Linked DNA regions of Sus scrofa. The protein of the gene in region 1 purifies or fractionates together with the protein of each later gene. This does not show direct contact. Links are inferred from orthologs where the notes say so. Each region holds a gene or a part of one and is shown in the gene's direction. Other genes may lie near its edges.

Evidence for each region.
Region 2: the proteins of NAF1 (region 1) and NOP10 purify together in Homo sapiens (co-immunoprecipitation; 6 studies listed by BioGRID and IntAct, with this or other methods). This does not show direct contact. The link is inferred for Sus scrofa from reciprocal best matches to the Homo sapiens genes NAF1 and NOP10.
Region 3: the proteins of NAF1 (region 1) and NHP2 purify together in Homo sapiens (affinity purification with western blotting; 3 studies listed by BioGRID and IntAct, with this or other methods). This does not show direct contact. The link is inferred for Sus scrofa from reciprocal best matches to the Homo sapiens genes NAF1 and NHP2.

What each region holds. Positions count from the first base shown.
Region 1 is NC_010450.4:51,971,641-51,974,824, reverse strand, and holds the end of NAF1 (H/ACA ribonucleoprotein complex non-core subunit NAF1), read left to right. Parts: intron 1-1,622; coding exon 1,623-2,086; 3' UTR 2,087-2,537; downstream 2,538-3,184. UniProt on the Homo sapiens protein: RNA-binding protein required for the maturation of box H/ACA snoRNPs complex and ribosome biogenesis.
Region 2 is NC_010449.5:80,159,416-80,162,808, forward strand, and holds NOP10 (H/ACA ribonucleoprotein complex subunit 3), read left to right. Parts: upstream 1-1,608; 5' UTR 1,609-1,715; coding exon 1,716-1,769; intron 1,770-2,065; coding exon 2,066-2,206; 3' UTR 2,207-2,884; downstream 2,885-3,393. Other genes in the region: NUTM1 (NUT family member 1), read right to left, coding at 1-45. UniProt on the Homo sapiens protein: Required for ribosome biogenesis and telomere maintenance. Part of the H/ACA small nucleolar ribonucleoprotein (H/ACA snoRNP) complex, which catalyzes pseudouridylation of rRNA.
Region 3 is NC_010444.4:80,221,964-80,226,240, forward strand, and holds the start of NHP2 (H/ACA ribonucleoprotein complex subunit 2), read left to right. Parts: upstream 1-1,475; 5' UTR 1,476-1,549; coding exon 1,550-1,709; intron 1,710-2,065; coding exon 2,066-2,135; intron 2,136-4,078; coding exon 4,079-4,184; exon of another isoform or gene 4,185-4,277. UniProt on the Homo sapiens protein: Required for ribosome biogenesis and telomere maintenance. Part of the H/ACA small nucleolar ribonucleoprotein (H/ACA snoRNP) complex, which catalyzes pseudouridylation of rRNA.

The sequences.
Region 1 (3,184 bases):
TAGTCATTTTCAATCTTCATTTACATCTATGTAAGTTCCTCAGTAATAAACCTGAGAGAAACATCTAGATTTCTCTTTGCTTTCTGTCATCTGGCTAGCTTTTGAGGTAGCCTTGATCAGGGGAAGTCGGAGTCATGTGTTGTTCAGGGGTGCTTTTCAAGCTTATGGATGTAAAAAGAGCTCCCAGGGCTAAAAGGCAAACTGGGCCTGGTAGAATCATTTGTGCCCATCAGTACTTTTCTCTTTTTTTTTTTCTTTTTGCCATTTCTTGGGCCACTCTCGCAGCATATGGAGGTTCCCAGGCTAGGGGTCTAATCAGAGCTGTAGCTGCCGGCCTGCGCCAGAGCCGCAGCAATGTGGAATCCGAGCTGCGTCTGCAACCTACACCACAGCTCACGGCAATGCCGGATCCTTAATCCACTGAGCTAGGCCAGGGACCAAACCCGAAACCTCACGGTTCCTAGTTGGATTTGTTAACCACTGCACCACGATGGGAACTCCCCATCAGTACTTTTTTCTTAAGAAACATACTTCTTTTCCTGATCCTCTGACCTTTTGGATTCATTTAAAATTGATAATTTTAAGCCTTATAAATGTATAATTATTAAGATACACTGGAAGTTAAAGAAAAGGTATTACTAAAGTTTTAAACAGTAATTTTTTACAATTAAGAATTTTAATTTAGAGTCATAGTTGATTTGTAATGTGTTAGTATTTGCTGTACAACAGAGTGGTTCAGTTATACATGTATGTTCTTTTTCGTTGTCATATCTTTTTCATGATTTTTTTTTCCATTATGGTTTATCACATAATAGTGAATATAGTTCCTTGTGCTATACAGTAGGACCTTGTTATTTATCTATTCTGTATATAATAGTTTGCATCTTCCAGTCCCAAACTCCGAGTCCTTCCCCTCACCCACTCCCTTCCCTTGGCAACCACAAGTCTCTTTTCTGTGTCCACGAATCTGTTTCTGTTTAGTGGATATGTTCATTATTTGTGTCATTTTAGACTCCACATATAAGTGATATCATATGATGTTTGTCTTTTTTTGACTTCACTTAGTATGATAATCTTTAGGTCATCCCTGTCATTGCAAATGGCATTATTTTCTTTTTCATGGCTGAGTAGTATCCCATTGTACATATGTACCATAACTTTATCCATTCTTCTGTCAGTGGACATTTAGGTTATTTCTATGTCTTAGCTATTGTGAATAGTGCTGCTGTGAACATAGGGGTGCATGGATCTTTTTGAATTACAGTTTTATCCGGATATAGGTCCAGGAGTGGGATTGCTAGGTGCTATGGTAGTTCTATATTAGTTTTCTGAGGAACCTCCATGCCATTCTCCACAGTGGTTGTACCAATTTACATTTCCACCAACAGTGTAAGAAGGTGTCCTTTTCTTCACATCCCCTCCAGCATTTGTTATTTTTGTAGATTTTTTTTATTGATGGCCATTCTGACTGGGTTGAACTGATACCTCATTGTAGTTTTGACTTGCATTTCTCTCATAATTTATTGATATTGAGCATCTTTTCATGTGCCCCTTGGCCACCTAAACTGTATTTTTGATGTATTAAAATTAATTTGAATTTTGTTATCCTTTTTTCCCTAAAGGTGAAGATTTTGCAGAAGTACACCAGAATTGGAATGTTCACAGCTCTGCCTCGGAGCCTTCAGCAGGCTATTGCAACAGAGAATTCACGCGGGGATTTTCTCGGGGTAGACACCCTCGGCCTTGCCCTGGCCAGCCCCCACTGCCACAGTTTTACCACTCAGGACCCATGGCGCCTCAGGAGACCCCAGGATTTCCACCTCAGAGACAGGATAGTCTCGTGATGCCACAGTACCCTTTCCCTCCTCCCGTGTTCGACATACACAATTTCTCCCTTCCTCCCCCTCCCCCACCCCCGCCGCCACCGCCTGTATCTGCAAACATGGGTTGGGCTACACCTGCGGTGGCCCCTCACCAATTACTTCCCTTACCATACGCCCTCCCTCCACCCCCACCACCCCCACCACTGCCTCCTCCCTCCTCTTCTGAAGATAGTAATTCTTCTCATTTTGGACCTTACTATTAGGTGGATGTATGCATTTCCTGAGAAATGTGGACTTTGTATATTATATGGAAAGGATTTTTTTTCTAAAGAGATTATGGAGCTAGATTTTTAAAACACTGTAAATTACTAAATGCTTCCTTCACTTGTAAGTAGTTGAGGTATATATTCAGTTGATATATGTATATTATAACCTTTGTGAAATTGTATTCATGAGAATTTAACTTTAAATTGATGGGGTGAAAGTCCAATTATGTAATATTTAATTAAAACTAAACCCTGCCCAATTAAAGATTATGTAAAGATCTAATAATAGACTTGGAGCAAGTTCCATCATGTATTAAACTATGCTGAAAATAATTGTCTTCTTGGTGTGTCTGAAAATAAGGTAAGTCTTATTAAAAGCCTTTAAACTATTTTTATAAACTTGTACTTTGAAAGTTAATTTTGATTATAAATATGATTTACCAATAAATTTAAATGTAGTATTTTTTTTTTTTTTTTTGGCTGTTCCATGCATGTGAAAGTTTGTAGCCAGGGATCAAACTTGTGTTGCCTCAGTGACTCAGGCTGCTGCATTGACAGTGCTAGAACCTTTACCCACTGTGCAAGATAATTCCTGTACTATTGTTATTTTTTTAAGCAGTGAAGCATACAGAGAAGAAAGCCTTACATATTAGAAGCATTATCTATATGTAGAGTTAATATTTGTTTTATATAAATGAGCTTTCCATTATCTGTGCAGATTTTTTCCAATATTTGGGCAAGATCCAGTAGGCTTTACTATTTAATCACTTAGACACAAGGGTTATTCTCAGTAAAGTATGTTACACATTCACGGTAACATGTGAATACTGGGAGACTGTGTCTTCCACATCCATTTCTCAGACCCTTGGATGCCTGGCAGGGGTTAGGTGCTTAGTAAATATTTATTGAATGACTGATTGAATTTAGAGCTTTGAATTAAATGACCAGTGGGTATTCTTTCACGTTTCCTGTATTCATGAAACATAAATGTAAGGAAAGCCCAGAATATCAGAAGTAGAAGAGGCCTTGGAAAGTAGGCTGAACGAGCCCTCACTTAACCATGGAGCAGCCTGACTGTGGACCCTGAGAAGTCAA
Region 2 (3,393 bases), on another chromosome or scaffold:
GGCTCCAGTAGATACACAGGGATCCAAGGAAGGAATGGTAAACATCAGATCAAAACAGAACTAGAATCTAGGACCCAAGGCATTCTGCAGGGGGGGAGGGGAGGTGGCATTATGGGGTGGGGTTAGGGAGAGATTCCACAAAGGGCTCTGGAAGTGGGCAGTAACCAGGAATTCCCTCCAAATCAGAGTATGGCAACACAATTGTTGCACACCTCTCTGGGGCAACTTGCAGATTCTTTCCTGGATTCCCAACCACATCTTGGTTCCCTACAGAATTCTTCACCAATACATCTAGTTTTTGTCTTTCAATGCTACCCAGTTCTATAACTGACTTCCTATTAATAACAGGTTCTGGCAAACCCTTGACTTAATTCAGTGTTGGCTGTATTTTCTGAACCAAATTCAGAGCACATAGTCTGTGTACTTAAGGATCAAGGGAACAGAATGTTTGAAATTAGGGTTGTCTTAGAAGATCAAGGGCATTGAATTGCTGTATACATATCATTTCCTTGGAAAGCTGTGCTGCAGTTCCCAAACTGTCCACTACCATCAGCTCTGCAGTCCACAGAAGGCTTAGCCTTAACCCTGGCTGAAAAGCCTCCCATTCCATCAAAAACTGCTATTCAGCCTAAAATTTCAAGAGCAAAAAGTCCTTCTTTTTGTTTGTTATTTTTGTTTAAAATTTTTGTTAATAATCTTAATTTTTTAAATGGTAATATGTCAGCATGGTTCAAAAGTCAAACTATGCAAAATGAAATATAACAAGTCTCCAACCATTCCTTTCCTCTGGAACCGAGTTATTTACCCCAGGGAAAACCAAATTTCCTCTGAATCCTTGCAAAGGTATTTTATGCAATTATAATAAACACAAACTATACTCTTTTTAAAAAAGCTTTCAGCTTTTTCTGGTTATAAACTTAATATATATTACAACGTTTCTGCCGTTATAAATAATAACGGCCACCTTCGTAAAGATATCTCGGTTCCAAATTCATTGCTTTAACTAGAAGTCCTATAAGGAGAATTTGTACGTTCTTTTAAAAATTCGAAATACCCCTAAGGGGTGCGTCTTATTAGCTACTCACCACTATAAGAATGGGCGTTGAATTTGTGGTAGAGACTTGAGTTTGAATCTTGGTTCGACCATTAAAACATACTTCACCAGTTTCATAAAATAACTTCACGCTCTTTTCGCTGTACAGAATATTGAATACCCATCATGCACTCTTTACCGCCAATACTTTGAAATAGGGCGAGGGAACCGGATGTAAAAGAGGGGAGGGAAGAAAACCTTCTTCTTTCTTCCCTAAAGTAAAAGGGGTTCTGGGTCCTGGAGCCCTGGTTTCTCCAGGTAATAGAAGCTCACTGCCTCTGAAATGGGTGTGTATCTTGTGATAAAGACAGGATTTTATTCATTAATGTTCAATCTATATCCATCCCTTCCCCCCACTGACGCCAAGCAGTGCCTAGCACACAGTGGGCACACTCCACGTGTCTCATAACGCCTGCAAGTTTGCAACTGGATTGCAACTGGCCAAGTCCTGCGGTAGTGCCCCCTTCCGGCCGGCTGGAGAAAGGCCTAAGTTGGACTACATTTCCCGGCGTGCTTTGAGAGCGAGACTTCCGTCTATACCGGAAGGAAGTTGCCAAACACTTTAGGCCTTCAGTTAGAAGCAGCTGCGGAAGGACCTGCGTCTACTGGCTTCAGCGTGATCATGTTTCTCCAGTATTATCTCAACGAGCAGGGAGACCGGGTCTATACCTTAAAGGTGAGAAGAAACAGGTTGTAAATGGGCATGACGAGAACTGTAGTTGGGAGGGGCGGTCAAGGCAAGCCAGTGAATTGCCTGCCTGGGTGAGGGGAACTAGAAAGCCCAGAAGCTACGCGTAGTAGAAGCAGGAGTGTCTGGCTCCTGGATCCGACCGTCGCGTGTCCTGTCTTCATGTTTACCTTTTTCCGCGTTGCCCCCTCCCCATCCCAGGCCCCATCTCTCATGACTCTCAGTGATAGGGTTTTCTCACCACTCCATTACTGAGATTTGTTATCTCTTTCCTCCTCGAGCAGAAGCTCGACCCCACGGGACAACAGACTTGCTCGGCCCATCCTGCTCGGTTCTCCCCAGACGACAAATATTCTCGACACCGGATCACTATCAAGAAACGCTTCAAGGTGCTTATGACCCAGCAACCGCGCCCCGTCCTTTGAGAATCTCTTAAAATTGTATGCTGCCTGCTAGCGCTCAAGAGACTGTGCAACCAAGCTCTTCGATCTGTGAGCCTTGAAGATTTACTCCAACCCTTGCTCATTAGAATCCGGTCTCATCATTGCCTTTGATCATGCTTGTTGTGAAGCAGTCATGCTAGCATTCCCTTTAAAGGGAAAAAGTTTGAATCTTTTTTTTCATACTTTGAATCACTGCCATGTTATTAAAATGATTTGAAAGAGCTCTTATTTTGTATGTTGTAAGAAGAGAGGATTGGTTTAAAAACAAACGAGGGAGATGAGAGGGAAGAGTACCCCAGGGATACAAGACTTCTTGGTGGCTGCTGTAGCAGTAGTGCTATGCTATGAGTCATAGGAGGGGGCTGGGGAAAGGGAGGAAAGCTTGAGAAAGACTCATCTGCAACAGCCACCTTCACTTGGCCAACCGTTGTGAATAGGAATGCCTTTATGTGTGTTTACTGACCCTGTGGAAATATTCCCAGGCCTTTAGTTCTTTCCATCAAGGAATTCTCTTCTTACATACACCTAACTTCACATTCTGTCTGCTATGTGGAATTCTACATGGATCTTAATTTAGAAGATGAGGCATGAGAGATTCAAGCAGGGATTTTTATTTTTCATGCTCCTCTTGAGGGATCATTTTTATTAAATTGTGGAGGATGTCTTAGGCCTTGAGCTTCTGTCATGGGGTAATCACAAATTTTTAATCCGATTACTTCATAATAGAGGGATGATGAGGCATAATATTGTATACAGGTATCCAAGAAATCCGGGAGTTTCCTGGTGGTCTAGTGGTTAGGTAGGACTCTGCGTTTTCACCCCTGCAGCCTAAGTTCAATACCTGGTCTGGGAGCTGAGATCCCATCTCAGGCCACTGCATGCCTCCAGCCAAAAAAAAAGAAAGAAAGAAATGCTAATGCTAACTTGCTTTTTCCATTCCTTAGGTTAATCGACTCACTATTTCCTAATCTTCTCATTTCTGGCTTTTGACGTTGAATTTAAACGTTTTCTTAGTGCCACTGATTTAAAATTGCCTTTTGGAGATTGCATCCAATTGTACAATCTTCTTTTCCTACATAGGCTTCCAGAAGCAGATGTGACTTAAATAAGCGCAAATCTGATTTATCAAGAGTGGTCCTGGAAAGGGGTAAATGTGCTTCTCTTGGACT
Region 3 (4,277 bases), on another chromosome or scaffold:
TCAGCTATAACAAACCTGACTAGGATCCATGAGGACTTGGGTTTGATCCCTGGCCCCCGCTCAGTGGGTTAAGGATCTAGCTGTGCCGTGAGCTGTGGTATAGGTCACAGACGCTGCTCAGATCTGGCATTGCTGTGGCTGTGGTGTAGGCCTGTGGCTACCGCTCTGATACAACCCCTAATCTGGGAACTTCCATAGGCAGTGGGTGAAGCACTAAAAAGAAAAAAAAAAAAAAATTTCCACTTTCTGGGCTGTTCCACCACCACAAAAATGGAGGGCCTAACACCGCATGATCAAGGCAACTGACTTACAGCAACGATCTAATTAATATCCACCCAATAGGACACAAGAAATAAGGCAGAGGTACAAGATCCACCCTGGTCTAGGCCTGCTTGCCTCTCCAGCGGCACCATCCACTAATCCTCTACAGATAACTACACACAGAGTGCCTACTCAGAGCTCTCCCCACGACGCCCCAACTTCTCAGCTTCAGTGTTCAAGCCTTCTTCTGCAGTTCCCGCTGTCTCCGCAATGCCTCCCCTGTGCGTGATGCCAGGCAGTGGTAGGAACGATGAGGAAAACAGAGGGTTAGGGGATGCCGATGCAAGGTGAGCCTGAACTGCAATTTTTTTTTTCCCATGCCAGTGGAAGTTCCCGCCGCCAGAGACGGAACCCGCGCCACAGAAGCAACAGTGACAACACTGGATCCTTAACTAGCTACGCTACAAGGGAACTCCCAAGGACTGGAATTTTAGGTTAAGTGTGGTCAGGAAAATCTCCCACATGGGTAACACCTGAGCAGGTCTCTGCGGGAAGGGCGGGAAAGAAAGTCACCGGCTCTCTGGGGAAAAGCGGTCCAGATCGAGGCACTCAATGAATGGGGCCATCCCTTACCAGGAAAGAGAGCAGAGCGTGAGAAATCGTGCTAGAACGAAGAAATCGTTATCAATTAAGTTAAGGCTTTACTTTAACCTTAGTACCTAGGGTATACGCCACCAGGACCGGCTCTGGACCCGGGACCTGACCAGGCTCGGCACTGCCCATTGGAGGGATCAGATTCTAAGGAGGTGTGGAATCACACTGGGCCGACCTCTGGTAGCAGAACCCGCCCTTTAAGCTAGGATCCGTCCTTTTAGACTTGGTCACGCCCCCCACAGGTACAGCCTCCGCCCCCTCGTCTCCAGTATGGTTGACGCGCAACTCTCAGACGAGCCAGACGAGCCGAGGCAGCCGTCCCAGTCCCTCTTCTCCTCCTCCAGGCCCCGCCTCCCTCCGGGCTCCGCCCCCTCCCTCAGAGGTCCTCGGACTCCGGCCTTAATCCGCCCCGCCTCAGCTGTGGGAATGGTCCTGCCCCTACCGCCGAGACTCTGCCCCCCGCTCTATATTTAACGAGTTTAGCATCGGTGATTGGTCAGAGTCTGGGACCTGGGTTCCTAATTGGCTGTCGTGTACTGACTGCTTCCCTCAGAGGGGCATGACCCGGAAGCGATTTCTGAAGCGCCGGCCGCGTGTACTCGGTTCTTGGGCACTTGGTTGCCGAGTTGCTGCCATGACCAAAATAAAGGCAGATCCCGACGGGCCGGAGGCCCAGGCAGATGCGTGCTGCGGGGAGCGCACTTATCATGAACTGCTGGTGAATCTGAACCCCATCGCGCAACCCCTGGCTTCTCGCAAACTGACACGGAAGCTCTACAAATGCATCAAGAAAGGTGCGGTGGTGGGATGGATTGGGAGTTTGGGGTTAGCAGATGCAAACCACTGCATTTGGATTGGATAAGCAATGAGATCCTGCTGTATAGCACAGGGAACTATATCTAATCACCTGTGCTGGAGGATAATGTGGAAAAAAGGAATGTATATAAATATATAACAGGATCACTTTGCTATATAGCAGTAGTTGACAGAACATTGTAAGTCAACTATAATAAAAAACTTTTTAAAGAAAATCTACAGCCTCAGAAAATAAATAAAAATTTTAGAAAAGAGAGATGCGGCGGACGCCGGGCAGGGTGGGGACGCTGGTGGTGGCCCAAGGCCCCCGGGGCTGATTCCCCTGTCGTTGCAGCCGTAAAGCAGAAGCAGATTCGGCGCGGGGTGAAGGAGGTTCAGAAATTTATCAACAAAGGCGAAAAAGGGTAAGAACCCCCTACTGCCCGGTTTTGCATTTCTAAACGATGACGAAAGTATCCCTCCTACTTAGTAGGTAAAAGTGCTCTGACTTGCCCTGATATTCAGGTGATTAGTCGGTAAATTCCTTTCAGCACAGATGTCAATACATCACTTGCACGAGCTCTAAGGGACGGCCATGGGGAAAGAGAATTCCAGGGGAAGCCAGTCATATAAGCCAACTCACTTCAGGTAGATCCCAGCTTCATTCATGCAGCCACTATTTACTGTCTGCCCCTTTTCAGGCACTTGCTACAGGAGGAGATAGTGACATTAACCACACAGGATTACAACTTGTCATAGGCAACTACAGAAGGGAAAAAAGTACAGGGTGCGGTGAGAATGACTTCATTACCCTACATCTTCCCTATTTGGCATTTGTCAGATTCAGGAACTTATTTACGTTTCTATCTTATTATTATTATTATTTTTTTTGTCTTTTTAGGGCCGCACCCAAGGCATATGGAGGTTCCCAGGCTAGGGGTTTAATCGGAGCTGTATCCCCAGGCGTACCTCACAGCCACAGCAACATGGGATCCCAGCCACATCTGCGACCTACACCACAGCTCACAGCAATGCCAGATCCTTAACCCACTGAGCAAGGGCAGAGGCCAGGGATCTAACCCACGTCCTCATGGATACACGGTTCATGCCACGACGAGAACCTCCTTACTTATTTACATTCTTACTCCCTTTCTCTCTCACTTATATCAGAAAATAAGTTCTTTGAGGACAGGATGAACCGTCTCACTGCTTTATTTCCTTTCCAGAAGTGTGTGGTACATTGTAGTTGCTCAAGATATAAAAAATGATGGGGGGGTGATGCTAGGTGGGATAGCTGAGGTCTGAAGTTCTAGGAATTTGTGTGGGGGAGGGAGGAGCATTCTGTCAGAGGAAAGTGAATCCCAGGGCAGGAGAGGATAGTAGTGGGCAGAAGTGCTGTCCTCTCATGGGGCTTTGTAAGCCATGGTAAGTTTAGTTTTTGTACTCAGAGCTTTGGAGGCCACTGAGGGTTAAAGCCAGGGCGTGACATAATTACATTTACACCTTAAGAAGATGTTTCTGGAAGCTTTGGGAAGGATAAGAGATGGAAGACTAGATGGGGAAGTTGAGATAGGAGGCTGTTTTGGTGCAGAAGAGGTGAGGGCAATTTTGATTAGGTTAGTGATGGCAGAGATGGAGAGAATTAAAGTGGATGGATGAGAAGACTTTTGGACATACAGTGAAGAGGTATGGATTCGAGGCGAATGGACAGAGGGCCTACTCACTGAGAGAGTGAACAGTGGAAGAGGCTGAGTTTGTACAGGAAGATCACAAGTTTGGTTTTAGACAAGTTTGAGGTGCCTTTTATTTTTTTTATTTTTGGCAGCATCTGCAGCACACGGAAGTTTCCAGGCCAGGGATCAAATCCAATCCGAAGTTGTGATCTTTGATCTGTGCCACAGCTATGGCAACACCAGATCCCTAACCCACTGCCCCAGGCTGAGGATCAAACCTGCACTGATTCTCTGGACCTTAAAATGCTTTCCCTGTCCTCATCCCCTCCATGGGCTGCCTGACCGATGTTCATCATTCAGGTCTCCTCTCAAGTATTGCTTCCTGATTTCTTTTCTGAGCTCTTACTGCTTGGCATCCCTCCCATACCTCATCTGTCTCAGCCCAATACCTTTGTTACACTTGGTGGGTTTACTTGTTGCCAAGCAATAGAGATCACCTCCCAGAGGAATGCACTCCCCAAACCAATCTGCACGTACTTCCAGAGGTTTGGCGACACACATTAATAATTGGGATCCTTGATGGCAGGAGCCAACTTACCCATCTCTGTACTCCCAATGGCCAGCTCAGAGGTGGCACTTATAACTGAAAGAGGGAACAAGCAAGCTGGAAATGACAGTGGCTTCTCTCATTTCAGGATCATGGTTTTGGCAGGAGACACGTTACCTGTTGAGGTATACTGCCATCTCCCAGTTATGTGTGAAGACCGGAATTTGCCCTACGTCTATATCCCCTCTAAGACGGTAAGGAGGCTTGGGATAAGGTATGTGGCAGCAGATCATAGTGGGAAAGAGCCTGAGCTTTGGAGTTAAAAGATAGGCCTGGGTGGATTCTTG